Linked DNA regions of Arabidopsis thaliana. The protein of the gene in region 3 interacts with the protein of the main gene of each other region in a pairwise test. Each region holds a gene or a part of one and is shown on either strand. Other genes may lie near its edges. The genes, in order: ATBET12, AT1G31990, AMT2 and PFA-DSP5.

Evidence for each region.
Region 1: the proteins of AMT2 (region 3) and ATBET12 interact in a protein complementation assay, tested with the Arabidopsis thaliana proteins (one large-scale study listed by BioGRID).
Region 2: the proteins of AMT2 (region 3) and AT1G31990 interact in a protein complementation assay, tested with the Arabidopsis thaliana proteins (one large-scale study listed by BioGRID).
Region 4: the proteins of AMT2 (region 3) and PFA-DSP5 interact in a protein complementation assay, tested with the Arabidopsis thaliana proteins (one large-scale study listed by BioGRID).

Annotation. Positions count from the first base shown.
Region 1 is NC_003075.7:8,307,129-8,314,966, forward strand, and holds ATBET12 (Target SNARE coiled-coil domain protein), read left to right. Parts: upstream 1-3,190; 5' UTR 3,191-3,353; coding exon 3,354-3,367; intron 3,368-3,670; coding exon 3,671-3,821; intron 3,822-4,286; coding exon 4,287-4,343; intron 4,344-4,431; coding exon 4,432-4,491; intron 4,492-4,591; coding exon 4,592-4,677; intron 4,678-4,785; coding exon 4,786-4,810; 3' UTR 4,811-5,256; downstream 5,257-7,838. Other genes in the region: HCD1 (3-hydroxyacyl-CoA dehydratase 1), read right to left, coding at 1-534; AT4G14450 (uncharacterized protein), read left to right, coding at 2,391-2,768. UniProt on the Arabidopsis thaliana protein: Required for vesicular transport from the ER to the Golgi complex. Functions as a SNARE associated with ER-derived vesicles.
Region 2 is NC_003070.9:11,484,373-11,491,330, forward strand, and holds AT1G31990 (uncharacterized protein), read left to right. Parts: upstream 1-3,629; 5' UTR 3,630-3,832; coding exon 3,833-4,810; 3' UTR 4,811-4,946; downstream 4,947-6,958.
Region 3 is NC_003071.7:16,037,807-16,046,515, reverse strand, and holds AMT2 (ammonium transporter 2), read left to right. Parts: upstream 1-3,994; 5' UTR 3,995-4,224; coding exon 4,225-4,536; exon of another isoform or gene 4,537-4,615; coding exon 4,616-4,906; intron 4,907-5,714; coding exon 5,715-6,000; intron 6,001-6,138; coding exon 6,139-6,242; intron 6,243-6,409; coding exon 6,410-6,844; 3' UTR 6,845-7,086; downstream 7,087-8,709. Other genes in the region: AT2G38300 (myb-like HTH transcriptional regulator family protein), read left to right, coding at 837-1,071, 1,223-1,299, 1,423-1,459, 1,547-1,658, 1,780-2,341; FAC1 (AMP deaminase, putative / myoadenylate deaminase), read left to right, coding at 7,723-8,077, 8,185-8,375, 8,460-8,625. UniProt on the Arabidopsis thaliana protein: High affinity ammonium transporter that may play an important role in moving ammonium between the apoplast and symplast of cells throughout the plant. Does not transport methylammonium.
Region 4 is NC_003076.8:5,378,766-5,386,267, reverse strand, and holds PFA-DSP5 (Phosphotyrosine protein phosphatases superfamily protein), read left to right. Parts: upstream 1-3,328; 5' UTR 3,329-3,649; coding exon 3,650-3,798; intron 3,799-4,060; coding exon 4,061-4,154; intron 4,155-4,381; coding exon 4,382-4,439; intron 4,440-4,523; coding exon 4,524-4,567; intron 4,568-4,664; coding exon 4,665-4,934; 3' UTR 4,935-5,199; downstream 5,200-7,502. Other genes in the region: RIC4 (ROP-interactive CRIB motif-containing protein 4), read left to right, coding at 1,063-1,180, 1,281-1,409, 1,586-1,800; AT5G16486 (RNA-directed DNA polymerase (reverse transcriptase)-related family protein), read left to right, coding at 2,042-2,671; AT5G16470 (zinc finger (C2H2 type) family protein), read right to left, coding at 6,438-6,752. UniProt on the Arabidopsis thaliana protein: Cleaves the beta-phosphate at the 5-position of soluble inositol pyrophosphates. Has highest activity on 5-diphosphoinositol 1,2,3,4,6-pentakisphosphate (5-InsP(7)). Possesses low phosphotyrosine phosphatase activity in vitro.

The DNA.
Region 1 (7,838 bases), on a different chromosome or scaffold from region 3:
GATCCCGAGAGCCACCGCTTCTTCTCCTTTGAGCTTCTTCCCGCTCAGTAACAGCTCCCTTCTCGCGATACCTGACCCAACCTTAGCCACGACCAACGCCGAGAAGTAGTCCGGCACCGGTAGCCCGATGTCCACCTCGCTCATATATAGAACCCCACGGTCTTTCCTCATGAAAACGTAGTCGTGGCTCAGCGCAAACATCAGCCCCGAGGCTGCCGCGTGGCCGTTCAAGGCGGCGATCGTCGGCATTGGAAGATCGAGGAGGGCGGCTAACACCGGTTTAAAGGATTTGACCATTTGGTGCATCCGTTTTATAGCACCGTGTCCAGCGGATTGAGCCCACGCGAGGTCAAAGCCATTGGAGAAGAACTTTCCGTGACCGGTAGTGATGAGGACGGATCCTTTTGTGGATTGAGACTTTGCTTGTTCAAGAAGCGAGAGAACAGAGGCGATCGTGTCGGGGTGGAATCTGTGCTCGTCTTCGCCGGTTAGGGTTAGGAGAAAGAGATCGCCGCGCTTCTCTAACGTACACATGGTGCGTACGTTAAGGACTTACTGATTTAGGATGGTACAAGAATAAGGAAAGAGTTAGTAGAAAACTGTGATATAGAAGTGAGTGTTGAGTAATTAATAGAAGGGAACCCAACTGTATATTTATTAGACGTGCTTTGCCACCGAAGTCTTTAAATTGGGTAATCTTCCCAACCATTTTGGTGTCAATGTTATTAAATGCAGACGAGACAAATGTGTATGAATGAATGTGTGACTTTCTTGCTGAAAATGATAATTGTAACTGTTTGTCCTTGGACGTAATTACCATTTTGTTCTTTCGCAGCTATTGGCTAAATCAATTTTGGTTTCCTTGTCTCCACTTGATTAATATTAACAACCTTTTTTTAGTGCTTACACACTTACAACTGTTCGTATGATTTTTTAGATATCTTGTCATGGCTTTTGAATCTATGAACTTTATTTTTGAAGCATGATTGATTGAGATCTCTGCTTTAGCATTACTCATGGACACATTCCATAAGAGACCGACATGAGTAGTTAAATTAGTTCACTAACTCTTTAAGTTGTGCAAACAACATTAGTTAGGTTAATATTAGTCCGCCAACTCTTTAATTTATTAAATACACAAGCTACATAGAAAAGAACAGTGTCTTTAGATCCATACTTGACCAGCCGGTCTAACCGATAAAACTGTTAACTAGACATATAACAATCATTATTTTACAAGATCCTATAATTCAAATACATATTCAAATATTTATTTAATATGCAAAGATTTTTATTTTATACCGAATAAATACTAAGATTTATCTTGTTTATTGACTTTTATTTTTAAAAAATTTTATACCGTATTTATGTCCGATCAGAGCCGTCCATGAACGCAATAGGACCAAATTTATGCTTGCGGCCTCAATTACTACAAATAAAATATTGACCTAATTTTTTTATAACTTTCAGTAAAAACGTTGATTATTTGATTCTTAGATACCTATGGTCGTCAAAAGTTTGAGTCCATCTACCTTCATTTACCTTGTTATTTTTTCATTTTCACTCATTAAAATAGGTCTAAATTTTGTTCTTTGCTTGCAATCTATTAAATACTAGAGACGGCTCTGTGTTCGATTAATGACACCACGATGGGACTTATAATACAAATCAGTATACTCATATATTACAAGATCATGTTAACTTTCTTACTATTTATATTTTGGTTAGCAACATGCAATATGCGGGTTTGAATAAGGCCATAAGGGTGATGACACACTGACAACACTAACACAAACCATTGGATTACATTTTTTTGTTCGTGTAGAAGTTAATCAGGCGGCTAGTTGACTTGACTTGGCCTGAAAAATGCAAAAACCTCACATATTTAAGCACATCGTGACATGGTCCGATTTTTGCTTTCTTTTGTTTTGTGGCTTAGATTGTAAAGCTCTGTCCGCACTAGACTCAACTTACATATTCATATTCATATTCACCTCTGGTCCATATATATTATAAAAGTCCAATAGAACATGTTCACGAGAATCTGTATAGGTAAACCTCATCCACCATTTAACATTTCATGAACATGTTTGACTTCCATTAACAAGATCGATGTCTTTGTAATTTAATATTAAAAAGAACTTTAACATAAAAACAAGCATGGAAAATTCAAAAAGAATTGGTCAAAGAGTATTGCCAAAACAAAAATGTAAAGAAACGGGAAAAGGGAAGATAAAGCAGCTAATTTTCTTTCTCCAACTCTGACCAATGACCATATCCAAGCGTGTATGTAATGTACCTAGTCAACATGTTACAAGTCGTGGCCCTCCTCACCTTATTATATATGTCATCTACATAAACATCAGACATCACACACCAACATCATTATTATGTTCTTTGATACAAAAGTACTCAATTATCCTACAATTCACAAATCTATCTCCATGGCGTCCACGATGCAAAGAACAAGCAGCTCCGCGGCCAGTAACGAGAGGCAACTTAGCCAGCTACAGAGACGAGCTCCGTCTTTAATGATCAAACCAACGTCTTTTAGTAACTGGAACGTGGCGATCCCTCTCCTTTCACCGCTCGCTCCTTCTCTAACATCATCCTTCGACCAATCACATGTTCCTCCGCCGCAGAACAAGACTGAGATACCAGTGGAAGAAGAGGTGAAGAAGACACCAGTTTTCAAGAAATGGCAACATCCCGCGTCGCCGTTCTGCTACGAGCCAACAACGTTTGTCCCACCGTTCATCCAGGTTTAGAACGGTTCATCAAAATTTTGTAGATTTGATGACTCAGCTACCAGCCCCGTGTGAATTTTGTTCCTGTGATATTACACGCGGTTAACTATTTTTCACGTTTTTGTATCAGTTTTATCCTCTAAGAGATAATATTATTCACTAACAAAGTATTAATTCAAGTTCTAAATGGGTAAAAAAAAATGCATAAAACACATGAAACAAAATTATGGGAAAAACATGGAGAAAATAGTTGCATGAATTCTTTAAATAAATTGTCAAATTAACCCATCATACATCTAGGGTTGGACTTTTCTTTAAAGTTCATTTCTTCAAAGTGTTCACTTTTAACAAATAAAAAAACTAACTTCATGGATTCAATATGGGCCGAACTAAAGCCCAGTAAGCCCAATTCAATTTAATTCTATTTTCTTCTTCTTCTTCTAGGGACTTGTAGTACAGTAAGAACTTTCGTACGTTTCTCGCAAACAAAACACGAAAACTTACGCTTCTGGAATTGAATCCAAATCGAGAATTTCCTTTACAATGCTCTAAATTCGTCTGTTATGTTGAATCCTTCGTAAGAGAGTAGAATCGAAGACGAATCAAATGAACTTTCGAAGGTTTGATCTATTGATCTCTTCCTCTGCATTCGAATCCTGTTTTTATGTAGATTCATCAATGTTTAACAAATGATATTGATTCTGCTCTCGATCGAATTTGATCTAGATCTCTTCACAATCTCCAGATTCACTCTTTCTGAAATCTTAGTTTTTTGAATCACCGACATTCGAATTCCTGATTCTGAGTCATTGACCTAATTCTAGAGTTCTAATTACAGTTTTCCAGATTTTGAATTGAGTGTATCCAACTAGAATTGGAGAAAATTGGATCTGATTAAGAACCAATGGTTTTGATTTCTGTAGGGAGAATCGTGCTTCGAGAACGTCTCTCTTTGATGGCCTTGATGGACTTGAAGAAGGTCGCTTGAGAGCTTCTTCTTCGTATGCTCATGACGAACGTGATAATGATGAAGCTTTGGAAAATCTTCAGGACAGAGTTTCGTTTCTCAAGAGAGTATGTTTCTTTCATCTATATAACTAAAGAATCAAAATATCAACACAAGCATAAACATTAGGATTAAGAATTGTGATTCTTTATTGTGAAATGGATGGTGCTACTGATCCTTATTGTTTGAGAAAGAACAGTCCCTTAAGCACTGCTAAGTCGAGACCCTAAATGTATCTTTCGAGCATCGAACGATGATCTAATGCTTTCGAAAAGTCTAGATATAAAGAAATTGAACTTAGTTTTTAGTTCCTAGATATGTATTGAAATTGTAGATTAAGAACATTCTCTCCAGCATTGCTATCACTAGACCCTGTATAAGTCTTTCGGACTCAACGACAAGGATCGAGCTATGATGTAATGCCTTAGAAAAGTCTAGTTATGAAAACAATGCCTTTTTTGTTTTCACTCTTGTCAAATCTAGTTTGCAATAACGCTTGCCTGAGATGTAAGTTGGTAATAATATCTTATCAGGTGACTGGAGACATACATGAAGAAGTTGAGAATCATAACCGCTTGCTTGACAAAGTGGTAAGCTGAAAGTTTGATTTCATCTGTTTCAGTTTGTAGATCTCTATCACATGCTTTTCTTCTAAGCTATTTGTTGTTGTATCTCTAGGGGAACAAAATGGACTCCGCGAGGGGGATAATGTCGGGAACGATCAACCGCTTCAAGTTGGTATGTAAATAAGATTTCGTACCTTTTATATATGCATCACCCCTTTTGTTTTTCGCTATCAAAACTTATATCTGAATAAAACTCGATTTTAACACGACAGGTCTTTGAGAAGAAGTCTAATCGAAAAAGTTGCAAACTCATAGCTTATTTTGTGCTCCTGTTCTTGATCATGTATTACCTTATTAGGTAAAATACACTTCTTCTTATAGTTATCAAAACACTTGACTTTTCTTAGGGACTGGTTCAAGTCCTTGTTCTTTGACTCGAACACTGACAATCTTTCGGATTTTGCAGGCTATTAAACTACATCAAAGGGTAAATTTGGATACAAGAAGAAAGTAGAGTGTTAAATGAATAGTTTCGTTTGGGACTTCCATTTTTGGATTTCTCCTGATGAATGAATGATTCAGACATAGTAAACAAGTCAAGGGACCCTATTGAAACCCTATTGAAACCCTATTGAAACAAGACAAAGAAAGAGATTGTGAAGAGACTAGTGAACCAACCGAAAGAAAAAATGTTTGATAGAGACTTGTTTGTCACAAGCAAAATCATCTCATGTCATTTCATGTAATGTAGCAAAAGCTTCTTTATCATTTGTCAACTATTTGATCTTGGGTTCATGTTAGCAGTTTTGTCTACAAAAAGCTTAATTGATTGATTGATAAGCTTAATTATTAGCTTTCTGTGAAAAAAAGTTTAGCACTTTGTAATAAAAACAAGATAACTTGGCGTCTTGTTTCCAAAAATTTCCAATTTTCAGAATTTTAAGGCGCAAATACCGTCCTGTATATTGACATTTTGCTAAAGATCCAAATACGTAACAACATGAGAAATATCATTTTTGAACGACTCGCAACAATTCCACAAGTTGACAGGACACTACTATGCAGAAGAGTTTGATTTTTTTTCCACTTTAGGTAACAAGTTGACAATAATCGACAAGTTCATTTTTGGTTTGGTAATAGACAACAAGTTGACATGTACATTTCCAAATGGTTCGGTTTCTAGGTCAAATCATCTTAACAATTATGTAAACTATAGTCTTAAATGTTGAATTTACGAGTGAATAACAGGTTGCTATGCTAAATAGTAAATTTCTTGAAACTACTGTTTAGATAAATAGTCAAATAACCATGAGTTTTAATATAGCTACTAGAGGATAACATTTGAGTTCTGGCACAATATATAGAAAAAAAGTAAAAAAAAAAAAATGTTACCTTATTAAATCGGGAGTAGTTTTTCAATTTCTTCTGATCTTTTAGTATATGCTAAAATACCATGTTAGTAAATATGAATGTGATTTTTGTAAAATAAATATATTATAACACAACAACAGATGTTATGCTACATATATTAAACAGGGTGCTAGATTATAAACAAAAGTGTTTTGGATTCACATGAAAAATATGTGTAATTATTTGAAGAAGTTAGATATATAGATCATTCAAAAAATAGTAAGCTACATGGTTATCTAATATACTGTTGGTAGTGAATCCATCAACCTAATCGTGACATATATACAATGTACAATCGAAATCGTTTCTAAGAAAGCCGACGAAATACTCAGCCTTTAGAAAGACTAGTATACGACATGTCCTACCACCCTAATTACTAAGAGAAAAAGATTCATGATGCTGCGGGAAATGACTTGCTTTCTTCAATTAACTCTTCATTCGAGCTTTGGTTGCTCTAGCTCACAAATTATCGTCGTAGTTAATTGAATATTTACAAGGAGCTGACTAAAAAATTAAATGTACATGCACATACATTGGAGCACGCCCACCATGGCTATGCTAAGCATGCTCTCTTAGCAGAAGTGACACCTCTCAGAAGCTATTGGGCCATAACAGAGTTATGACACGGGTCATATCCGTCAAAAGCACATTGCTTCTAGAATGCGAGGTATGATTGCTAAAAACACGATCGACAAGGAACTCAAGAACATCAACTTGCATATTGAACCTACATACATGCCGTATATAGGCATGTGCGAGGAGTATTAAGGATATAGGACTGGTTAACTTCGGTTATCACTGGTTTGGTTGAATGTGGTTTACTAACCACAATAATCTTATGTATATAAGTTTAATCTCGATTACTTTGTTAGTTAAGTTGGTTGTAACAACACTTTAAGCTGAATAAGAAAAGTTGTTATCTTCTTCTTCGTCTCTCTTCTCCGATCTTGAATCTCCGATGTATCGGATTTTATCATGGTATCAGAGCACAATATATTGATTCCGCGTTTGTTGTGTTCATCGGGAGAGAGTTTCATTTTCGATTTCTTCTTTTGATTCTTTCGTTCGCTTATGCCATTCGTTATTTTTCCGATTCACCGGAGTATTTTTCATTCTGTTTCTTTTACTTCCTTCAATTGACCTTTAGCGTGAGCGAATCTCGTTTTCTATACATCAAATTCGTCTCGCTTTCTTTGTAATTTTTCATTCTTACTCTGAGAATGGGATCTTATGTACCTCCACCTGCGAATCCGGTGACTCGTCCTCCGATCAACAATGGTGATCAAATTCGATATCCAGTAGATCAATATGAGAATCCGTACTATCTTCATAGTGCAGATCACGCTGGATTGATTCTTGTGTCAGATCGACTTACGACAGCTTCAGATTTTCATTCATGGCGTCGATCGATCTTGATGGCTTTGAATGTCAGAAACAAATTGGGATTTATAAACGGTACGATTACTAAACCACCTGAGGATCATAGAGATTTTGGTGCTTGGTCTAGGTGTAATGATATTGTTAGTACTTGGTTGATGAACTCTGTTGATAAGAAGATAGGTCAGAGTTTACTTTACATAGCTACTGTTCAAGGAATTTGGAACAATCTGTTATCAAGATTCAAGCAAGATGATGCACCAAGGATCTTTGATATAGAACAGAAGTTAAGTAAAATAGAGCAGGGATCTATGGATATTTCAACATACTATACAGCTTTGTTAACTCTGTGGGAAGAACACAGAAATTATGTTGAGCTCCCAGTTTGTACATGTGGTCGTTGTGAGTGTGATGCTGCAGTTAAATGGGAACATTTACAACAGAGAAGTAGAGTGACTAAGTTTCTTAAGGAATTGAATGAAGGATTTGATCAAACAAGACGTCATATTTTGATGCTTAAACCTATACCTACTATTAAAGAAGCGTTCAATATGGTAACTCAAGATGAGAGACAAAGGAATGTCAAGCCACTTACTCGTGTTGATAGTGTTGCTTTTCAAAACACTTCTATGATAAATGAAGATGAAAATGCTTATGTTGCAGCATATAACACAGTTAGACCTAATCAGAAGCCGATATGTACTCACTGTGGGAAAGTGGGACATACAATTC
Region 2 (6,958 bases), on a different chromosome or scaffold from region 3:
ATTCTTTATTCAATGTTTTATTTTCAATACACAATGGAGTCTCAACTCCTACACACTTCGAAACACAAAGCAGAGAAGGAAACGTGGGTTTAGCCCTCAGAGATAGGAACATAAAGCCACTGTATTATTTGCAAAAGAAAACAGAAATAAAAGGGAAAACGAGACTTAGTCATATGACTAAATCAGTCTTCCCTGTACTTTTGGGTTGCGCCCTCTCCTTCTTCATCTTTATCTTTAGTACGCTCAGCTCCATGCCTAATTCCTTTAAGTGTAAGGCCTCCTCCTTCTTTCATTGTTGCATCAATAGTATAATAATATAATATAGATCCATCAGATTGAACTATCCCTAAATGATCACTATTACATTGTATCTTGATATAATTTATATATATATTTATATAAATACTTATTGTACTCCTCCATGAAAAAATTCCAGAATCTGCAACACCAGAATTCTTGCCAATAATATCATTAAGATAAATAGTCTGATTCGAACCGGTGTACTTCAGCCGATATCCTTTAGAATCATCTGCTGGATCCTCTATATTAATCTTCGAATACGAATCGGTAGTACTGAGAGAATTCGAACAAGAATTCGAACGCATCCCAACCAGGTGTCGATCCCTAATTAGTATCCAAAATATGAACTCATCACGGTATAAGGAAGCAAGACACGTACTCGCTTTATTATTATTTTTCATTCATGCTAATTTTCTTACTTTTATATGTGCCACAAATAGATACGGACCATCTCTTCCGATTTACTAATATGACTCTGTGAGTTACATAGATAAGTTGGGATAAGTAGGGAGCGTGCGTTGGTTCACTCCGAAAACATATCGAGTGGATCAACAAAATCCCTTTGGCAAACTGTTACTCTTATTTTGGCGTCAAGCTGGTAAGGTGTGCCTTGTACGCCCATATATGCTAACATTTCCTCCCGGTTTTCATTAATCACATTGTTGTGGAATTCCACTCTCCACTTCCCTCAACACAAAGAGTGGAGAGCAACTATTGGAAATGATAGTTTGCCAATAATACCGCGATGTTTGACGTTGCTTCGTCCGGATGATTCCCAAACAAGGCGTCGAAGCAGCTTCCCTTCCCAAGGAACGGTCATTCCACAACCAAACCAAACTTATAATTTATATTTATTTATTATTATTTTTGTTAATTATATTTATGAAAATGACCCAACTTCCAAATTATGTTTATTTAAAATAATCCAACTTACAAATAATACTCTATATAGAATGACCACGAATAATTTTTTTTTTATTCTTTCTATAATATAATATTCTATATAGAAAGACCCAACTCACAAATTATTTTTATTAAAAATGACCCGACTTACAAATTATTACAATGAAAAAAGACCCATAGCCATAGGTTGGTTTACTCTCGAAAGACTGTCGACTTTTTTAACTCAGCCTCGCCGGGAGACAAAAGTATTAAAAACTGTAATTGACTTTTCAAATGCTGGTTTCTCCATTTAATATAAAGTATAACCTCAATAAATAATAAAGTATAACTTTCTAATTTTGATATTTATTAATATATGAATATAACAGTTTACATCGATTGAATTAATTTGATAAATAATATTTTTAATTTTTTTTTGCTAACTATCATATTGATGCATTTCTCTAAATCTTGAGTAAATGATTCATTCATCCATAAAATGTTAGTTATAAACAATTTACACCAATTGATTTTATTTGATAAATAATATTTTTGGTGCTTTTTCTAATTATCATTTTAATGTATTTTTTTAACTCTCGAGTAAACGATTCATTCTAAATTTTTCAGTTACATTGTTTAAAACTTATTTACAATTACTTACATTTTTAAAAAAATTGTTACGTTTAAAGTATTTTTAAACAAACAAAAACGTAGTATTGATTTAGTATAATTAAATATTAAATTCACTAATATTCATTGTCACTAATCATATATATATATATATATATTAAAATATGAAAACATGAAATAAATTCTTGTCATATTATTGAAGTTTTATACTTTAATTTATTTCTTTAAAATTTCATTGCTTTTATGTTTATACATAAATTTATACGACTTATACAACTAAATTTAAATAAGTTTATTTATATTTGAGTTTAATATACTTTGTACCTAATTAAATTAGAATTATTTAATTAATAAGTTAAAACATGTCAAATTTTTATATAAGAAAAAATTCATGCATGATTTTAAATTTTTAAATAAATTAAATTGTGTTGATTTTTTTAAAAAGTCTCTTTTATAACTAAAAAGAAAAACTCTCTCTAGCACTAATATTGAGGCAATAATCCTAATAGTTTTCTCCAACGCTGGTGGAGCTTGGGCTCGCCGGCGTCAGAATTTCTCTCCTCCTATTTGTTCACTTTACAAACTTTTGTTTTTTCTTTTTATCTTCACTTTAATTTTCATATTCATCAAACATTTCCCTCTTTCGCCTTTTCCTTCTTGAAAGCTTCAGAAAGTTATGACAGAGATCGAAGTTGGCATCCGGCGAACTCTCTTCCTCTCAATCTGCTCACGTGTATGCTATCAAAAGCGGTTTGCATCCATACGCCGGCTATCTTTCAAATCTGAGATGGCCACTCTTCGGGACGGAAAGATGCTTCCCCGTCGTGTTTAGAAAATATCTTGATAAGGCGATGTCTAGTATCTAGTCCTAAACGTTTGGATATCTATTCAATTCCGGATAGATCCATTTGATTCTGAATATTGTGGGTAAATGAGTTTAGGATGCATCAGTATATTTTAGAATTTTAGTTTGCTTTTAGATATTTTCAGTTTAGTTTTTTCCTTTTGGGTATCCAAAATAGTGATTCTTTTTTTTTTTAAATGGTTAAATTTGAAGAAAATCTGGTTAATGTTTTGACGATATAACTAAAAGCTTGGGGATATTTTGAGTATTTTGACTATTTTAGTCTAAAATAATTGATATCTTTAGGTTTTCATTTAAAATTTTGGTTAATTGGGTTATATCAATTGCAATTATAATTGATATTTTGGATATATAATAATATTTATCGTATTTTGGGCCGTGTTCGGTTCTGGTTCTAAAATCTGTTTTGATATTTTGTCAATCAAGTTTGATTAGATTTCTCTTTTTCGGTTCATTTTAGTTTGGTTTTTTGGTTTTAGTTTTTTTATTCATGCCTAGCGGTATCATTGACAAGCAAAATATCACTTCCAATAGTTGCTATCCACTATTTGCTTCTAGGGAAGTGGAGAGTGGTTTACCACAAAAATCTTTTCTGCCAAAAATTCTTAACCTTGACAGAATGGTAGTGTATTTGCTTACATACTCTTACCAGGTTGGTGCCAAAAGAAGAGTAACGTCTAACCAAAGTTATTTTTCTGCTTCACTCGATACATTGTCTGAGGGAACCAACTTACAAATTGTGTTAGTTTAACTTTGATGCAAACAAAAAAAAAAAAGAAAAAAACGAATCAAATTTTGTTTGTTAAAACTAACCCAACTTATAAATTAGATTTATAAAATGATTCAACTGACGAATAATATACTATGAAAGAAAGACACAACTCATAAATTACTCTAATTAAGAATGACCCAACTAACAATATTTATACGTTGGTTTACGCCAAATTGTAATACAATCGCTGCTCTCGGCAATAAGTATCTGGTGCATGCTTCTGTAAACCGCTTCTTCTCTCTGAACGACAAAGAAGGCGATTACCCAACAAAGCACCCTTTCGTTAATTACTTTCTGGCCGGCGTCGTCTCCGGCGTCGGCCATACGTCCTTTCTCTTTTGTTTGCAGTTTATTTATTCAAACATCTTCTTCAGTCCAAATTAATGATGGGGGTCTCGAGATTGATGATGAGAAGAGATGGGTTTCACCTACACTTAAATCCACGGTGCCTGTCTCAAATCTATTTCCCTGACTCGTTATTGAGTCATTCTACCCACCACCATATAAATTTGGTTTCGATTTCACAGAGTCATGTTGGAAAGGCACATCCCTTGAAGATGGACCAAATGCCTCGTCGGTATCGCAACCGTCGAAAAACACTCCGCCTTGCTACAAATACTACTCTCTCTTCCATAATTATGCGATTTTGTTGGCTCCTCGTAGCCATCTATCTCTCTTGTAGAGCGTTTTTCCGACGTCCACTACTGTGTTATTGTCGGCGTTCCGTCTCCGATTGCGTTCCATCTTCTTCTTGTAACCAATTAGTGATCATTGGTCCACAAATGAAGTGGCGTTCTCGGCAGTTGTCATTTTCCTCCGCCAAATGGTACGGAGATGTAATTTGGATATTTGATCCTGGTATCATTGGGGCTCAGATTGACAATGAAGGCGACTTGAAGAAGTGTTTCATACAGACACTGTTTCATAGCACCGGTTCGAGACAATCCATAAGGATATGGTGGAGAGAGATCATGTTGTCTTTGATTCTACGAATATACCTCGACAAATTTTTGCCTTGGATATCATTATCGATCAAGGAAGTTGGGGAGTCATCAGTCATTAACTTCAGCCTTTGGGGATGTCTACATGGAACGAGATTTAGAAGATGGTACTCACCATTTCAAAAGTTATCAGCATTGGCTATAACCAAGAAAGATGTCATCTCCTCTAGTTGGAGATGTTTTAATGGGATGCGATGTAACAGATGGATCGCAACCAATAATCGTTTTAAAGTTTATTGGAGTTTCGTCAAAATGATGATAGCCAAACACAACGATCATGTAGGATTAAGGAAGAAGACGAATAAGGAAGATAGTGGATTTGATAATTTATTAGCGTGTAAGGCTTATCAAAGAAAGTAGCGTTTAATTCACTTGTTCGATTGTATTTTCTTCTTAAATTTTAATCATTTCTTGGTTGTATGTGTAATGTCTGAGGAATAATTATGTAATCTCTGTTTCAATTTTAGTGAAGTAAAGCAAGATGTTAAAACAAAAAAAAAGACCCTCGCATGAAGACAAAAGTATTATAAATCTATTGATTTTTTTTTTACATTGTCAATATATTACTGGCCCTCTAAAGTCGTTTCGCTATGTAATTATATTTTACATCTACAATACTAATTAATAATTTTGTTTTGTTTTGTTATTTTTTGTAGAATTATAAAGAGGTCTTCAATATAGATCTGTACATCCTATCAGAACAAAGACCAAAATATATATATATATTTTTTCTTGGGCAAAAAGTTGTTTTCATTCCATTAGGTTAACACCCAAATACAAAGATAATAGGATGATAAGATCCCATAGATTGAAGTACAACAATAAGGGACAGACCCCAAAGCTACAATAAGAAGGATAGAAAAATACATAAGGTTAATCAACAAGAAATTGACCCCAAAGCTACAATAAGAAGGATAGAAAAATACATAAGGTTAATCAACAAGAAGTCTTTGAGAGCTTTGGGTCAAAAGCAAACATGCTTTATGGAACCTGTGAGATCAAAGTTTGTCGATAATTCGAAACAACGATTTAGATTGTTTCTTTTTAATTGTTATTTGAACCAACAATTTAGATATTTTATCAATTAAACTATTGATATTTAATTGGATAATAATTTTGGCCAATTTCGATCTGGTTTTTGTTCGGTATTCAAAATTTGCAAACTATAATAAAATGCGGCAAAGTCATAGATATTGTAAATATCTCATATGGGGAAAGAACTATATATAATTTTTGTGAAAATGAGTTGATAAAAGATTGAAACATTTAAAAGAAAAACTTATAGTTTCATCTCCCTTGAATTGACTATTATTGTGTTGATTATGGCTTTGAATGGTTGTGTAGTATGTTGCGGATCAGAATAAAATCGGATTACGTACTTAATTCACTATTTACCACTGCAGACCAGTATATACTATTAAGACTAAAGATCTTCATACTATAGTAAATATTCTATAAATTAATAACCTCTATAAAGAAAGTTTTCTAAAAATGACAAAAATCGATAAATTAATAGATAATCATAAATTTATAATCGTATAAACTTATCCATATATGGAACCTAACAATTTAGTGAGATATGACTTTGTTTTTCTTAAAATCATATATATGAAAATTGACCAACTCTCTCCGTATAAGTAACACATCATCACACCAGTGAGTACCACATGTCATTTTAAATTAATACAATTAAAAATTAATAAAACTTAGTGATTAAAAATAAACAGTCTCACATTGCATTAAATCATCCATCAATCCCACTCTTAACTAAATATCTTCAGAATAAAAGAAAAATACAAAATCATGTTAATGTATCACACTACTTTCATTCTACTTTTTTATTTTGCTATTTTTAAATAGTCATTATTCGATAATAACTAGAAGTTTTTCTTTTATTGCAGCTTAACTGTTTGATACTTCGCATTTCTTAGTTTGATAATTTTAATTTAGTATTTTCTTATTATAACATTTTTTTGTCTACATGATATGACTTTTTTGTGCCTTATGATAAATTGGTAATATTAACAATGACGTGCACGTTTTTTCAAGTAATGGTGTTTTGAGACGTTAGATTTACCAATGAATTTAATACACGATACTATTTCCAATATGGCTATATACAAATGCAAAAAAAGATATCTAAAAGTGTTTTCTTAAAGGACTCTTTAATTTTTGCTTTCTTTTTTCTCTTTGATATGAAAACTTTTGAGAATAAGTAGTTAGTTATACATTTTTTATTCAAATGATGTCAATCTAATATGCAGCCATGAGTCTATCATAATATGACTGGAGTACTAGATTAGAAGAGAATACATAGAATAAATAACTGTTTGTTTAGGATCAAGTTAGGCAAGTTTCAAATTACAAAAGTAACATAATTGCATATCATTTTATCATATATTATTGATATAAGTATTTCATAATAGTTTAAAAATGATTAGAATCTTGGGTATATAGATAAGAAGATTTATACATGAAAAACGTATAATTGATTTTTGAATTAAAGGT
Region 3 (8,709 bases):
ATTTAATTATTTTTCCTGGAAACTGCATCACGGTATCAAAAAATTTAAAATTCTTCATTTTTTTGTTTTCTTCTAAACTCAAATAACGTCTCAACTATACTAATATCTTTCTTATTTTCTTATAATTATTAATTTTTTTTTTTTTTTTTTTTTTGTTGTTGTTGTAAATAGTCTTACTTATACTAACTAATTCATTCATAGACTGTTAGTCCCGATACATGAATTTTATCTATATCGATCTTTGTAATCGAAATGTTTGTTTGACGAACTAAGGCAATCTAAGACTACTAAGAATATGCTATATATAGAGCCTAATTTCTATCACACTCATCTTAGCCTTTGGTGAACAATAATATAGAATAAGTGTTACTTGTAATTTGTTGGCATGTTAAGGGTATAAACAACAATTTATCTCATTTATAGGAGTAATAGTTTTCTCCCTCCATGGTTGATATTAATATGCATCCACATATTAAAATATACAACTATTTATATATAGAGCTGTCTATAGTAGAAAAGGGCCGAAATCAATTAGCTGTGAACAGAAAAGAAAACTTTTTAACATATGCAACAAGATTTAGGTGAGGGTTTGTCTACATGTTCCGGGAAGAGAGAGAGAGAGAATCAGAAGTGTATCTTGATCTAGGGTTCACAGACAAAATCTCCATGCTTTGAACTAAGCAGAATTCATCTGGTCTTTTATCTCTTTCATATCAAACCAAAGGATTGATCTATCCATATCGTCCAAAACCTATATCTAGCTAAGCCTAGAACTTCTCTATCGTTTACCACTTTCTTTCTATATTTCTTCTGAATTTGTAACATCAGAAGTAATAATGATTCCAAGTATGGAGGGAGGCGGGAAGACTAACAGAGAAGAAGAGGAGGAGGAAGAGGAAGAAGAAGAAGAAGGTGAAGAGAGTAAGGTTTCAAGCAATAGTACAGTGGAAGAGAGCGACAAGAAGACTAAGGTTAGGCCTTATGTGAGATCTAAAGTCCCTCGACTCCGGTGGACTCCTGATCTTCATCTTCGCTTTGTCCGCGCCGTTGAGAGGCTTGGAGGTCAAGAAAGTACGTCCATAGCTACTAACTTCATCTTTCATCACCTCCTCCACATATATATAAAAGCATAAGCAATTTCTTAGTTATTCTTAGGTTAACTATTTGGTCAAAACCTCATGTGATTTTCTTTTTTTTAATGTGTATGTTTGGTTATGTATAGGAGCAACTCCAAAGTTGGTTCGTCAGATGATGAACATCAAAGGGCTTAGTATTGCTCATGTCAAGAGCCATCTACAGGTATTTGATCTACATACATCTAAAACGTACCTATATATGTGTTGTATTTTCGATTTCGTTTCAAATAATCTCTGAAATTAGAAAAAAAAAGAAATCACTAAATTGTGTATTGGAAAATTTTAGATGTACAGAAGCAAGAAGATAGATGATCAAGGTCAAGGTATTGATTCTTTCTATTTGTGTTCATTAGTTAGTTATCAAGTTATACATGTATAGGCCAATAAAGTGGGGTTTGAATTGTTGGCAGCTATAGCTGGTCACAAACATCTCTTCGAGACTTCCACAGATCGAAATATTTATAAACTAAGTCAGCTACCGATGTTCCGAGGCTATAATCATAACCATGATTCTCCATTCAGGTTGATATAACTTTTTTTTTTGAAAATTTTAGATTTTATGTGTTCCTTAATTTGAATGATATTCCGTTTTAATTATATTTATTCGGAAACTAAATTAATTGTCTTCTTTTGTTTTTGGTAGATATGGAAGTAAAATTTCAAATGCTTCTTTGTGGAACTCTAGCTCTCAAGGAACAGAAAGGAGTTTGATAGACCAAATTAGGCCCGGTTTAATCCGCAACGCGTCGGTTAGCAATAACATCCGTGGTAGTGATTATTGGACTAACAACAAGTCTTTCCAAAACATCTACTCTTCTTCAATTTCTAATCACTTTCCGAAACTACGACACGATCATCACGAACGGACCAATTCAGTCACATTCAACAGCATTCAAGGACACTCAAGAACTTTTCAAAAGTTCCATAACGGTGTTGAGGAGAACACTAATCATTCTTATTGTAGCAAGACAAATGGCAAAAGAGACGCAAGTAGGAGCATTGATCTTGATCTATCTCTTAAGCTAAGACAACCGGAGAAGACAATTTTGGAAGAGACAGAAACAGCAGCAACAACAACGGATCAAACGTTGTCCTTGTCGCTATGTCCAGGGTCGTCTTCGTGGAAAAAGAGCCGACTGATGAAAGATGAAGAGGATCGGACGGTTAAGATTGGTCAGGAGAGTACTCTGGATCTGACTCTATGAATTATATTTAAGAATGAGACAAATTCTAAGTGAGATCTTGAGGTACTTACCGATATCTTAATATTCAGTGTCGTTGTTGTTTATCATTAATCATGTATTTTCTTTATTATTAGAAAGGAAACAAAAATGTTTGATTATATTAACGGTCTTGAGTTTGTTTGATACCGCCAATTTGTATCATCACATATATAAACAAATATTACTAGCCACATCATAATGATTCGATCTTTTGTCTTCTCATAGCAATATACTATATGAAAATTACATATACATATAACAACAAATTTACATCGATTAGAGTATCTCTGCTGGTGAGCTTCATTCATTTGTAGATGAGACTTTTACGTAAATAGTACAAAAATTTTGGTTTCGTATTTATCCGAACAGTACATGGACAATTTTGTAGTTCCAAAACATGTTATAGTTAATAGTAGTGTTTTCAATAATTTCCAAAATCCATCTTCACTCATTTTTCCCTTTTCAGAGACATAGTGAAACAATTTTACACTATGCAAATCCGAAGCCAATTATTTTTGAGGTTTTTACTATATGTGAACAAGATTAATACTTAAACAACAAGACACACCTCGTTCTTTGTAAATATTAAAGAGGTTAAAGATCATAATACAAAAAAAAACATAGAAAAAGTTCACAAATCATCAAATCTTTTGAGTTCATTATTCTATATAAAATTTTATCTCGTGAAATGTTTATTGTATAAGGATGTGATTAGTTGCAAACCAAAAATTAATGTTTAATAGTATTTGATAGGGAACTTATTTCAACTGTGTAAAATTTTCCCGGTAAAATTTTCGTTCAATCAGTCGATTCTAAGAACATGAATCTTATTGAATCTCTAATAATTTATTGTATAATATGGTGGCACCTATACGTCAATACGATAATGACGTCGTTAATAGTAACGTTGAGAGTTGAGACTGTTGTATAATTTTGATTCGACGTGCCAAATACTACGTTCGACCAAGTATCAATTTTGATTTTCCAAAAAGAAAAAACAAGAAACTTAGGATCTCCGTTAGTTTGATTGGATACACTGATACTGTTTCGATATTTAGACAAACAAATGGAATCTTTGCTTCTTAAACATTCGATGCGTGTGTGTACCTGGTCAACTTCTTCAGACTTCATTATCAAACATGGCCGCACGATCAGTTTTATTTTGCTACTGGAGAATTAACTTATCCACCTCAGAATCTAAACTAATTTCTGAAACTATATAAGTGTTTTTTGGGGCTAAAAATAAGATGCATGAAGTGAAAGTATCCTAGTGGTTAAAAAGGGGTGTAAACATAACGTTTAATGTTGTATCCCTTTATATGTACCTCTAATGTCCCTCTTTATTTACTTTTAATGATTTTTAAGACTAAATATCTTCAGTTGAAGTAGGTAATCTTTTTGCCAAATTAGTCTTCGCAATACACGGATCGATTTCCTTATAAGATATTAAATTTAACTCATTCAAAAAATATTAAATTTGCAATGACTTATAAGATAAATAAAAACCAAGGTCCATATCTTATCCCAATTTGTTTTTTTTTTTTGTATACCAAATTTGTCTCCTATATTGTTTTTATATGTTTATATTCTTTCTCCTAGTAATTTACACAAAGAATTTAAGAAGCTTCATTGAAATATCAAGACTAGAATTGAAGAATGAGAAACATATCTATCAAACCTCGAAGACTTTTCTCCATCAAAATGTGCAAACAAAACACCAAACCCAACTTGTGTCTTGTCTATTCTACACACATTATTATAATTAAAGGCTTTCACACCTACACAAAAAAAATTCGTACCATTGACTATAAACATCACAAACCCAACAAAAATTTCATCAACTCCGGGAAAGATAGAATAACAAAATGGCCGGAGCTTACGATCCAAGCTTGCCGGAGGTTCCTGAATGGCTCAACAAAGGAGACAACGCGTGGCAGCTCACGGCAGCGACTCTGGTTGGTCTACAGAGTATGCCAGGTCTTGTTATCCTCTATGCCTCCATCGTCAAGAAGAAATGGGCTGTGAATTCAGCTTTTATGGCTCTTTACGCTTTCGCCGCCGTTCTTCTCTGTTGGGTTCTCCTCTGTTACAAAATGGCTTTTGGAGAAGAGCTTTTGCCGTTTTGGGGCAAAGGTGGTCCAGCTTTCGACCAAGGATACCTTAAGGGACAAGCAAAGGTCTTGAATTTGGTTATGCACACAAAGTGTTCGATAAAATGCCTGAATGAGAATTTGATTTGATATTTTTTTCTTACAGATCCCAAATAGTAATGTGGCGGCGCCGTATTTTCCGATGGCGACGTTGGTGTATTTTCAGTTCACATTCGCGGCGATAACGACGATACTTGTGGCGGGATCTGTGTTGGGGAGGATGAATATTAAAGCATGGATGGCTTTTGTGCCATTGTGGTTGATCTTTAGCTACACAGTTGGAGCTTATAGTATATGGGGAGGTGGGTTTCTGTATCAGTGGGGAGTTATTGATTATTCCGGCGGTTATGTTATTCATCTCTCCTCCGGTGTTGCCGGTTTCGTCGCTGCTTACTGGGTACGTTTATTACATAAAATATTCAAGTTCAGAGTTTCTTTAGTTTGTTAGAGGTTAGTTTATTTAGTTAGGGAAACTATTAAATTCTCAGGCTATTGTTTGATATTTGGGTATTATTACTAGAAATATAATGAAAGATTGAAGAAGATGTTTGTTTGTTGAAAATATTGGAATTAATTAATGTACGGTAGTCGGTAGATGACATAGTCTCAAAAAAAATTCTTAAGAAATAATTCGATGTAGACTGGTCTTTAATTGCCAAGTTTTGTTTTGCTTTCTCTTTCGGTATGATTACGTATTTAAGGTCCATAGTTTATAGATAAGTAGTAAGTTCTATGATTGTTTGGTCCACTAACAAAAGGTTACTAATTTCCAAGTACTAAGATTAATTAAATCAAATCAATTTTGGATTTGACAACACGATCTTGATCTATATTGTATTAGCAAATTAGATAATTTAGTTAGAGGAGAGTAATCGAATAAAGTAACGCTCCAATATTGATCACACTCAACTGAAATATCTATTTTTGCCTAATAGTAAATTCACAAAATAATTGAGGTTGATTCCATTTTTGCATTTTATATCTTATAGATATGTATACACTAATTAATTTGTTTTTCTTGTATTCTGCATTTTGTCGCACATAAGCAAAATGGTAAAAGTCAAGTCAATTCCACTGACGACGACATAATATTCCACATAGTAAATATATAAAATCATGCAAAAGAAAATGAAATTAAATGGTTAGTTAAAAAGCAAACACTAGCTAGTTGAGAAATACGATTTTCTGACATGATGTTATTATAGGTAGGACCAAGGCCTAAGGCTGACAGAGAGAGATTCCCACCGAACAATGTTCTTCTAATGCTTGCTGGAGCTGGACTTTTATGGATGGGATGGTCCGGTTTTAACGGTGGTGCTCCTTACGCGGCCAACTTAACCTCCTCTATCGCCGTGTTAAACACCAACCTCTCGGCCGCCACAAGCCTCCTTGTATGGACTACACTTGATGTCATCTTCTTTGGCAAACCTTCTGTCATCGGAGCAATTCAAGGCATGGTTACTGGCTTAGCCGGCGTCACTCCCGGAGCAGGTTTCAGTCATCTTCTTTTCAAGTTTTTTGTTTACTCTAAGTCTCTAAGTTTATTTATGATTAAGGTTGAATTATGTGGAAACTTATTAATATTGCATTGTTAATTTATTATACTGACAAATAAGATATCTATTGCAGGTTTGATCCAAACATGGGCAGCTATAATAATTGGAGTAGTCTCAGGAACAGCTCCATGGGCCTCTATGATGATCATTCACAAGAAATCCGCTCTCCTTCAAAAGGTAATTTAGATCATAAATCCCATTTTAATTTCATAACCAACAAAAAAAAAAAAAAAATGTTTTACCTTATTAGAAAAACGAAAATGTTTCAATTGTAGAATTAAGGTATTAGTAATAACAAACGAATGATTTGAACTGTAATATTTTGATTGGGTTGAAATAAACAGGTGGATGATACATTAGCGGTGTTTTACACACACGCCGTGGCTGGTTTACTTGGTGGAATAATGACAGGGTTGTTTGCACACCCTGATCTCTGCGTTTTGGTACTTCCTCTCCCAGCGACCAGAGGAGCTTTCTACGGTGGCAATGGCGGCAAACAGCTTTTGAAACAGTTGGCTGGAGCTGCCTTCATTGCCGTCTGGAATGTGGTGTCGACTACTATCATTCTACTCGCTATTAGGGTGTTCATACCATTGAGAATGGCTGAGGAAGAGCTCGGGATTGGAGACGACGCAGCACATGGGGAAGAAGCTTATGCTCTTTGGGGAGATGGAGAGAAGTTTGATGCTACAAGGCATGTGCAACAGTTTGAGAGAGATCAAGAAGCTGCTCATCCTTCTTATGTTCATGGTGCTAGAGGTGTCACCATTGTTCTATGATTTTTCTTCTTCTTTTTCTTATTTATTTTTTGTGTATTGATTTCCTTATGACATTAGAGATGTGAATGAGTTATTTGTGTTCTGTATAGGTGGTAAAACTTCACTTTTCATATTTTTTGGTGTGTATTTGGAGTTAACAACCATTTGTGATTTTGTTGAAATGAAAACATAGAGTTCGTGAACAAATGTACCTTGTAACCATTTTAAATTCAGTTAAAGTAATTTCCTCAAGTCATTTGGCTAATAAGTAATTTCCTTAATCACTTTTTCCTTGGGCCACAAATAAAAAAGAAAAGCATGAGACTGAGACCATGTAATCTGGACTCGAGCTAACATTAGACCCATAGTTCTCTTGATATTTAGTGCCAAAGGCCCAACACCTAGTTTTCTTAAAATGATAGTGTTAACCTTAATTCCCTTATTTCTTAGGGATTTTGATGTGTTAATGTTTAATGAAGAACTTTCTTCCGTTTTATATTTTGTACAATATTTATGAAAATGATTTTTTATTTGAACAAACTAAAAAATATGAAGAGTTTTCACTTTCACGTATAAAAGCAAACATAAAATAAAATAAAAAAATTGGACAGATAAAAACAAAAATTGGTGTCTGAAATAATTGAACACTAATGAAGAAATTATTTGTCTATAAAACTCTGCCCCTATAATTATCAGCACTTTTAGTTTTTAGCCATAAAGGTTTCAACTTTTATCAAAGACCCAGCCTTTTTGCAAGTGGCGTGGTTTCACTCGTTGGGCCTATAAATAACAACTCAACCTCGACCTCCCACCATCGCCACTAAAACGAAATCGTGGTCTTACTCTCTCTTCTGAGTTCTGACCTGAGCACACACACAGAGATTTTGATTGTGTCACTCATGGAACCCAATATTTACCAACTTGCCCTCGCGGCTCTATTCGGAGCTTCCTTCGTTGCTGTTTCTGGGTTTTTCATGCATTTCAAGGCACTGAATCTAGTCCTTGAGCGTGGTAAGGAGCGTAAAGAGAACCCTGATGGAGACGAGCCTCAAAATCCGACCTTGGTGAGGCGGCGGAGCCAAGTTAGAAGGAAGGTTAATGACCAATATGGTCGCAGTCCTGCTTCTCTTCCAGATGCCACTCCTTTTACCGATGGTGGCGGCGGCGGCGGCGGTGATACAGGACGGAGCAACGGTCACGTTTATGTCGATGAAATTCCTCCTGGTCTCCCTAGGCTTCATACGCCATCTGAAGGTATGAGAACCAAACCTGAATTGATCAGATTAGATTGTGGATTATAAAAATTGATCCTTTAATCCTTTGATGATGCTGATAGATAGTTTGTGATTGCTTTTTTTCAGGGAGAGCTTCTGTACATGGAGCTAGTAGTATCAGGAAAACTGGAAGCTTTGTTAGACCAATATCTCCGAAATCCCCTGTTGCTAGTGCTAGTGCTTTTGAGAGTGTGGAAGAATCAGATGATGATGATAATTTGACTAATAGTGAGGGTTTAGATGCTTCCTACTTGCAAGCTAATGGTGACAATGAGATGGTGAGTTTCTTTATTTATCATTACTTTTTCAATCCCTGTTCTGTGATTGAATAGGTGGGTTTACAAGTAAGATGTTTTTTGCAGCCTGCAGATGCTAATGAAGAACAAATATCTATGGCTGCTTCAAGTATGATTCGATCCCATAGTGTGTCTGGTGACTTACATGGAGTTCAGCCTGATCCTATTGCTGCTGACATTCTTCGTAAGGAGCCAGAGCAAGAGACCTTTGTCCGTCTTAATGTTCCTCTTGGTAAGAATGGTCACTTTTTGTTTCGTTCTGTCATCTTGCCTTACTTCTGGTTCCTGTATGCTTAGTACTCTTTTCCTATTGTTA
Region 4 (7,502 bases), on a different chromosome or scaffold from region 3:
GGGGGGGGGGGGGGGGTTTGAGTTAAATTTATTAGGGTTCACTTTTTGCTTAATATTTACGTTTTGTTTTCAAAGCCTTTTTTAATAGTTTGCAAAAACTATATGTTTCATGAATTAACAAATAAAAAAATGTATTCATCCATGATTTCATGATAAATACCACTAACAAGTAACAACAGTATCAAATGGTTGAACAAGCAACGACTAAAAAATAGAAAAGAAGAGGGGGAAAAAAGATGGCCTTGCCATCATAACCATTTGATGATTAAATTTTGCAAAAGAAGACGTTCAGAAAAATTAATATAGATTGCTTTGATTCCAAGGGGATGTAACAACTAATGTACATTTTAATCATTTAAGCCATCATTATACATACATTATAGAGTCTTTGAGTATTCATTATGAACTCCATCGAATATTAAACTGTTCTCCATATACTAAAACTAATACACAGTCCACAGAAGTAGAGTTAAACTTTAACTATGAAGTACGTAACTAATTTACAAAATATTGATTGACATAATCTTTTTCGACTGCTATAATTGACATGTTAAAAGTTTTTTTTGTTTTTTTAGTACAACTCACATATAATATGCATTTGGTGTAATAACAAACGAAATCTAAGCCAGTCACAAAACTCAATTCCTATACTCTATACAGTATATTGATAGCAATATACAAATATCAATATCTAATTATCCATATTATAACATTTTTGATATCAAATATATATATATATATATATAGTGCAAATTATACGTCACAAAGAAAACAGTCTACCAAACAGTAGTTGAGCCCAAAATATAAAATGAAAGCTATCACTTTCTATTCTACCGCAACTTCATATACACACGTAAACATCATTGTAACTTCACAACAAAGTCAGCTAAACACATAATTCACGACCACAACCAAATTATATTCCAACAAAGATTACAAACAAAACAACAACAAATTACATCAAAACATTTGGTGGGTTGTCATTTTCATCGTATATATACATATACACACATACTCTTATATATAAATAGAAGTATTTTAAAAGGAAAGGCTTGGTAGAAAATGAGAGATAGAATGGAGAGACTTGTGGTGCTTCCTTTCTCCATCGGATGTATCTCCGTCTCAAGTGTTGCCGTTTTGTCTCCTCTCTCTAAGCCTCATCATCATCACTCTCGTCAAGGTTCATTCCCTCTCTCTTTTTAAATATCATGTATATATATATTGAATTAATATCTCATGTATCTTCTATTGTGATATATACCTTGATGTGTTTTCAAAAGTGATTCGTGAACAAGAGGAGGAAGATAACATGAAGAATGTATTCAAGTTCCTTGCGGTTTCTAAACCGGAGATTTCTATCGGTATTAACCGGATTTTCAAGAGCTTCAAGACCATTTCTCAACTCTTTGGTAATATTGTACTCTAATGTATGTTACGAAATTATACCATTTAAACGTATTGGCAAATTTTAACATTTGCTAGAACCACTTTTACATGTTTTTGGTTCATATAGATCCTAGTACATGTGTCCTCACTCTTTAACATTTATAAGTTGGTACTATCTTTTCTTCCAAAAATGTTATAGCTGACAAAGATGAAGAGAAGGAAGAAGTCGAAACATCAGGAATGGAGATAGGAGTTCCAACGAACGTAAAACATGTATCGCACATCGGTTGGGAAAGCGGTCTAACCGCGGCTACAGGTCCTGGTAAAGGATGGGAAGATCTCATACCGCCGGAGTTGCTTGCAGCCGCTGCTTCAAAAAAAGAAATTAACCCTCATCTTCATCCAACTTTATAATCCACTCCCTCTATTTTTATTTTATTTGATGTTTTGTTTAAGAATCTAGACATATTGATATATATATGGTGAATCTGATCTATGATATAAACTATGTTATGCGGTAAATATAATCGTTATGTAAATATTTTGTATGTTAATCATAAGATATGATATTAGTACCATACATTATCAACAAAATGAATATTGATATACTCGGGGAGCTGGTGAATATTAACTCGGGGAGTAGAACTTCTGGGATATGGTGAATATTAACTCGGGGAGCTGGATTTGGAAGAGTATTTGCAAGCTTCGTCCAATGGCTCGGGAGTTTGTGGTTTGCAAAGTCGGTTCGGGGATCACTTGTAATTTTTGGAGTGAGAATTGGACTAATTTGGGACCGCTTATTCATTTAACAGGTGACTTGGGACCTAGAGTTTCTGGTTTACCTAGGAATGCTTCAGTTGCAGATGCTTTAAGAGATGGGGTTTGGTGGATAAATGGGTCTAGGAGCAGGAACCCAATTATTCAGCTGTTAAAGAACTGTCTCCCTCTTTCTAGTGTGGTGAACCTTCAAGTGGATGCTGAAGATGATCTGTTCATGTGGAAGGTTGGGGGAAGTGAGGCTTCTGTTGGTTTCTCCTCTGCTGCAACGTGGATCCACTTAAATCCTGTTGGGGAAAAGGTTGATTGGCATAAGGCAATTTGGTTTAAAGGCAGGATTCCCAAGCATGCTTTCATCTCTTGGGTAAATATCAGACACAGGCTGCCTACTCGTGACAAACTTCTAAGCTGGGGACTTCATGTTCCATCTCTCTGCCTCCTTTGCAATGCTTTTGATGAGACGAGACAGCATCTCTTCTTTGACTGTGTGTTTGCAGGAGAAATCTGAAATCACTTCACTTCTCGGGCCCATGTTTCTCCTCCTCCATTGTTTGAGGATGGGGTTAGATGGCTTAAGAATCCTAGTCGGGACAAAAATGTGACTACGATTCTTAGGATAGCCCACCAAGCTACGGTTTATACTCTTTGGAGGGAACGGAACACTCGTCTGCACACTTCTTCTTCGAGACCTGCTGCTGGACTGATTATGGAGATAAAGAATCTTATTCGCACTCATCTTGATCCTCTCTCACGAGCTCAACGTATTGGCCCCAATGGTTTATCGTACCTCGCCACTTGGTTCGGTCTCTTTATTTGATCATGTGCTCTGTTTTACTTTTCTTTGTTGTTTCGTAGGTGTTACTCGTTTTAGAAGTACTGTGTATTCGATATCGTTTTATAAATGAAGTAAAAAAAAAAAAAAAAAAAAAAAAAAGAAAAGAAAAGAATATTGATATACGTTAATCCAAATTAACTTTTAGAAACAGTTGAATCATATTGTGGGGTCATCATAACGAATCTTTGATCTATTAATAGAAAATTCTAAAAATTGACTCTTTAAGTCAAAATAGGAAATTTCCCAATCGGTTCAACGAAAAGTTGAAGGATGTAACAACGTGTCATAATCTGGTGAGAGATTACAGCGAAAACAAAACATTCCCTTAAAAACCTGAAGAGGATCCAACAAGAACAATCTCTAATGGCGGTTTTTCAAAGGTTTAACAATTTTTTTCCAAATCCGAAAAAATCTCTTAACAAAAAAACTCCTTAATCTTCGTCATCTTTTTGTCTCTTTTTAAAAAATAATTAAACCCCACTTGATGATTATCCCATTAATCATTTAAAGGTTTTTTTTTTTCTTTTTGTTCAACGAATCTCTATCTCTCTCTAGATTTTGGGGATTTTGCTCTCTCTCCCTCTCTGTCTCTCTTTGGTGCTCGTAGCTTTCTGTCTCCCAATTGAGAGAAGGAGGGAGATAGAAACGTCGATGGGCTTAATTGTGGATGATGATAACGATGGAGAAGTTTTGATTCCGCCGCCGAATTTTTCAATGGTAGAAGATGAAATTTACCGATCTGGGTTTCCTGAGCTGGAGAATTTCGGATTCTTATCAACCCTAAATCTTCGATCCATCATGTAAGATTCTCTTCTTTCATTCTTCTGAATCTTTTGTTAAAAATTAAAAAAAGAAGAAGAATCTTTTATTTAATAACGCATCGTTGTCGTTGTTTATAGATAGACAGATTCCTTAAATCACCACTTTCACTTTCATGGCTTTTATTAGTTAAATGTCAAAAAAATGTGGGATAATTATATATTTGTGTTGTTGAAATTTGACCCACGCAGAAAGATTTGATTACAAAAACGAGTTTTGTTTGTTGGGTTTGTCTGGAAACAGTTATCTGTGTCCTGAGCCATACCCTGAGGACAATCTCAAGTCTCTTGCATCCAACAACATTAAGCTTTTCCAGTTCGGGATTGAAGGCAAAACGGTATGATTTTCTAACCTTTATGATTCATTCAACAACAGCAATTGTATTGAATCTTTTTGAGTTCTTCTTCAAGAACATTTGACCCTGTTTTTAGTGTCTTGTTGGCTTGTAGCATTTGAGTTGATGAATCTTATAAGACCTTTAAGAAACATATAAATACCCTGTTCTGTTCCTGTTATAGCTTCTTTGATTTCTGAGTTTGGATTGTTTTACTTTTACGCCAATAGGATCCTCCAACTCCTATGCCAAAGGATACAGTGTTGAGTGCTCTTAGAGTACTAGTTGGTAAGGAACCAGAAGAGACTCTTTGATGTGTTGTCGGCTTTTCTCTTTTAGCTGTCTCATTAATTCTTCTGTTTTTGCTAACAGATGTTCGAAATCATCCAATTCTTATCCACTGTAAGCGCGGAAAGGTAACCAAACCAAACCCTTCTCTTCCGGTTTAACAAGCTTTAGGTTAAGTTAAGAGTGATTTGAGTCCAATGGTGCGTTTCTTCTGGCTCATTGCAGCATAGGACAGGTTGTCTTGTGGGATGCTTGAGGAAAGTGCAGAACTGGTGCTTGTCATCGGTTCTCGAGGAATACCAGAAGTGTGCGGGTTTGAAATGGAGACAAAGAGATTTAAGGTTCATTGAGGATTTCGATGTGCTCAGATTGAAGCAATGTCTATACAGCATCATATATCAGTACAATGGGTATGGTCTCAAGAGAAGAAAGTTGCTGTATCAAGAAGAGAATGTTGTTCAAGAACAGCAAAAACCTCAAGCCACCAAAGGATAAAGAAAGAGATTTGAAATCGGATTTTTTTTTGTTTCTTTACATTTTGTCGTGATGATGATGATGATTTTTTTGAGAATAGGATAGTTCTTTAAAAAGCTTGAGAAAACAGAGGATTTGATTTGGTCTCTCTCTATCTTTTTTTTACGGTTAGAGAAATTTACAGATTGATTCTTAATTGTTCATAAGAAACTAACATGTGTGATGTGAGCTTTTGTTTTCCTATTTATGATTGAGTAAAGGCAATTGAATTCAATTCTTTTCTTCTTTCCGTGGGCTTTGTTTAAGCTTATTTCATTCGTGGGCCATAAACCATATATCCAAGTCAATGTTACGTAGTCGATTTTTGGGCCTCTGCCTTTGTTAAAAACTTATAATAGGTCGACGTCTATAAACAATTAAACATCATCAAATCAGAATGATTCGTCGTAACTAGTCTAAGGAAAGGAAATGTATACCAATCCCTACGCAAAGTATAGCAATTGAGTTTAGACAATCATATTTATCATTTTCTTGAACAACACACAATTATATGTATCAAAATACATGATGTTCAACTACATTTATTCCAACCACTAACAAAACCAAACACGAAAAGCTATGAAGTATTGATTCTGATTACTCAAGTTGTCATAGATAAAATAATCTGCACTCGAGTCCATTTTAATTTTGATTTGGATTCGAAAAAACCACATGTGCACCATGAAGCTGACTGAACAAGGACAATGGGAATTAGAATTAGAATCTTTCTTTTTAAAACGAGAAAAGGAACAAAACTGAATATAACTTGTCCAGATGCTTTGAAGGCTTGAAAGATTAAAAAGCAAAAGCCAGTTTATGCAATGAATACACGACATCTAAGCTTTTCAGACAACCAAATCAAAGTACATAATCTCTTGTTTGATGAGTTGCAGAAACTTTCACTCTTTCAAAGTACAAAAGCCAGTTTATGCAATGAATACACGACATGTTTCTCTAAGCTTTTCAGACAACCAAATCAAAGTACATAATCTCTTGTGTGGTTATAACATGAGTTGCAGAAACTTTCACTCTTCCTCAAATCCCCACGGCTTCAAACAAAAGATACGCTTACCAAACATGCCTAATCAGAGACAGAGATTTAACAGAAGCCTGTAAAGTTCCCGAACAATCATATGACTCAAAGAACAAAACCAAAACTCTTCATCAGAATCACCAAAAAGACTACCTTGTATTGTCTTAATGAGCTAACATGTCTGATCAAAAACAAAGATGCTGATTTTACGAGCAGCTTGACATGATCCAGAACAACCAAAATTATCCAGAAACAAGAATCAAAAGAAACCAATAAGTTAGAAACAAACCATTTAATAAGAAAATATCAGTTACTTTTTTATATGATCATAACATAAAAATACGAAGACATAGAGCATCATCAACGCAAGTTTATATTCTCACATCAAAACACCATTAAAAAGACCACAAATTTCAAATCGAAATTCGATACAATCCCAAACCATCTTCACTTCACTTCTTAAGGCTTCCTCTGATTCCAGGCTTAGGCTTAGATGATTCAGCAGGAGCAGCTAAAGCCTCATGAAGATTCCTCGGCTCTTCATAAGTCAGCTTTGGATGCTTCGATTCATGATGGATCTGCATCGTCTTTAGATCCGGTACAGTGATCTTGCAGTGAGGACACTCGTACTTTGCGTGACCACCTTTCTCCTTACCGGTTCTATCGGCGAGCCCTGCCTTTCCTCCACCGCGATTGGTCAACGCTGCATCGGCTTTAGCTTGGAGCTCCTTCGCTGTGTGCTTCTTTGGCTTTGCTTTGCCTGTCATCGTTGATTGCTGCGGCGGCTACGAGAAATGAGAAATTCGCAAGGTTGGGGAATTGAAAACCCTAACCCTAATTTTGCGATTTGAGAGAGAACGATTTGGGGGCTACGGAGTTTCGATGCGAGATTATTTATCTTTAGTTAAAAAAAAGTATTAAAATAAATAAAAAAAGGAATATTTTCCTATTTCCTGAAAAGGTATTTATAGAGTGTAGTACGGTGCATATTAAGACTTTTGCGCCCATTTTCCTAATATATATTCGTTCAAATCCACTTGCTTTATTCTTTTTATCGCTTTGCAAATTCAAACATAAAAATAGTAAAGAATTTTATGACCAAATGTATGAATTAAATAATAATAAATAGACTGTACATTTTGTACATTCATGCACGACTAGACTTTTTTGTTTCGTACATGATCTCTAATAGAGCTTTGACAAAAAAAAATGACCTCTAAGAGAAAATTAGAAACTTATTATATCTTATTGCAAAAAGTTAAGATTTTAATCCATTTGGGTTTTGATTTTTCTGGATCAATTATCTCTATTTTCCAGTATGAATTATACGGAAAACAACATTATAATAATATCACTTTACTTTGTAAACTATACTCTATAAGTTAAAAAAAAATACTATTTTTGTTAATATGTGTTTTTTTTTGTTAAGGGTTTTATTTTTGTTTATATGTTACATGATATAACATGTTAACATATGTTAATGTAGATACAAAGAGCTGAATACCGGAACTAAAATC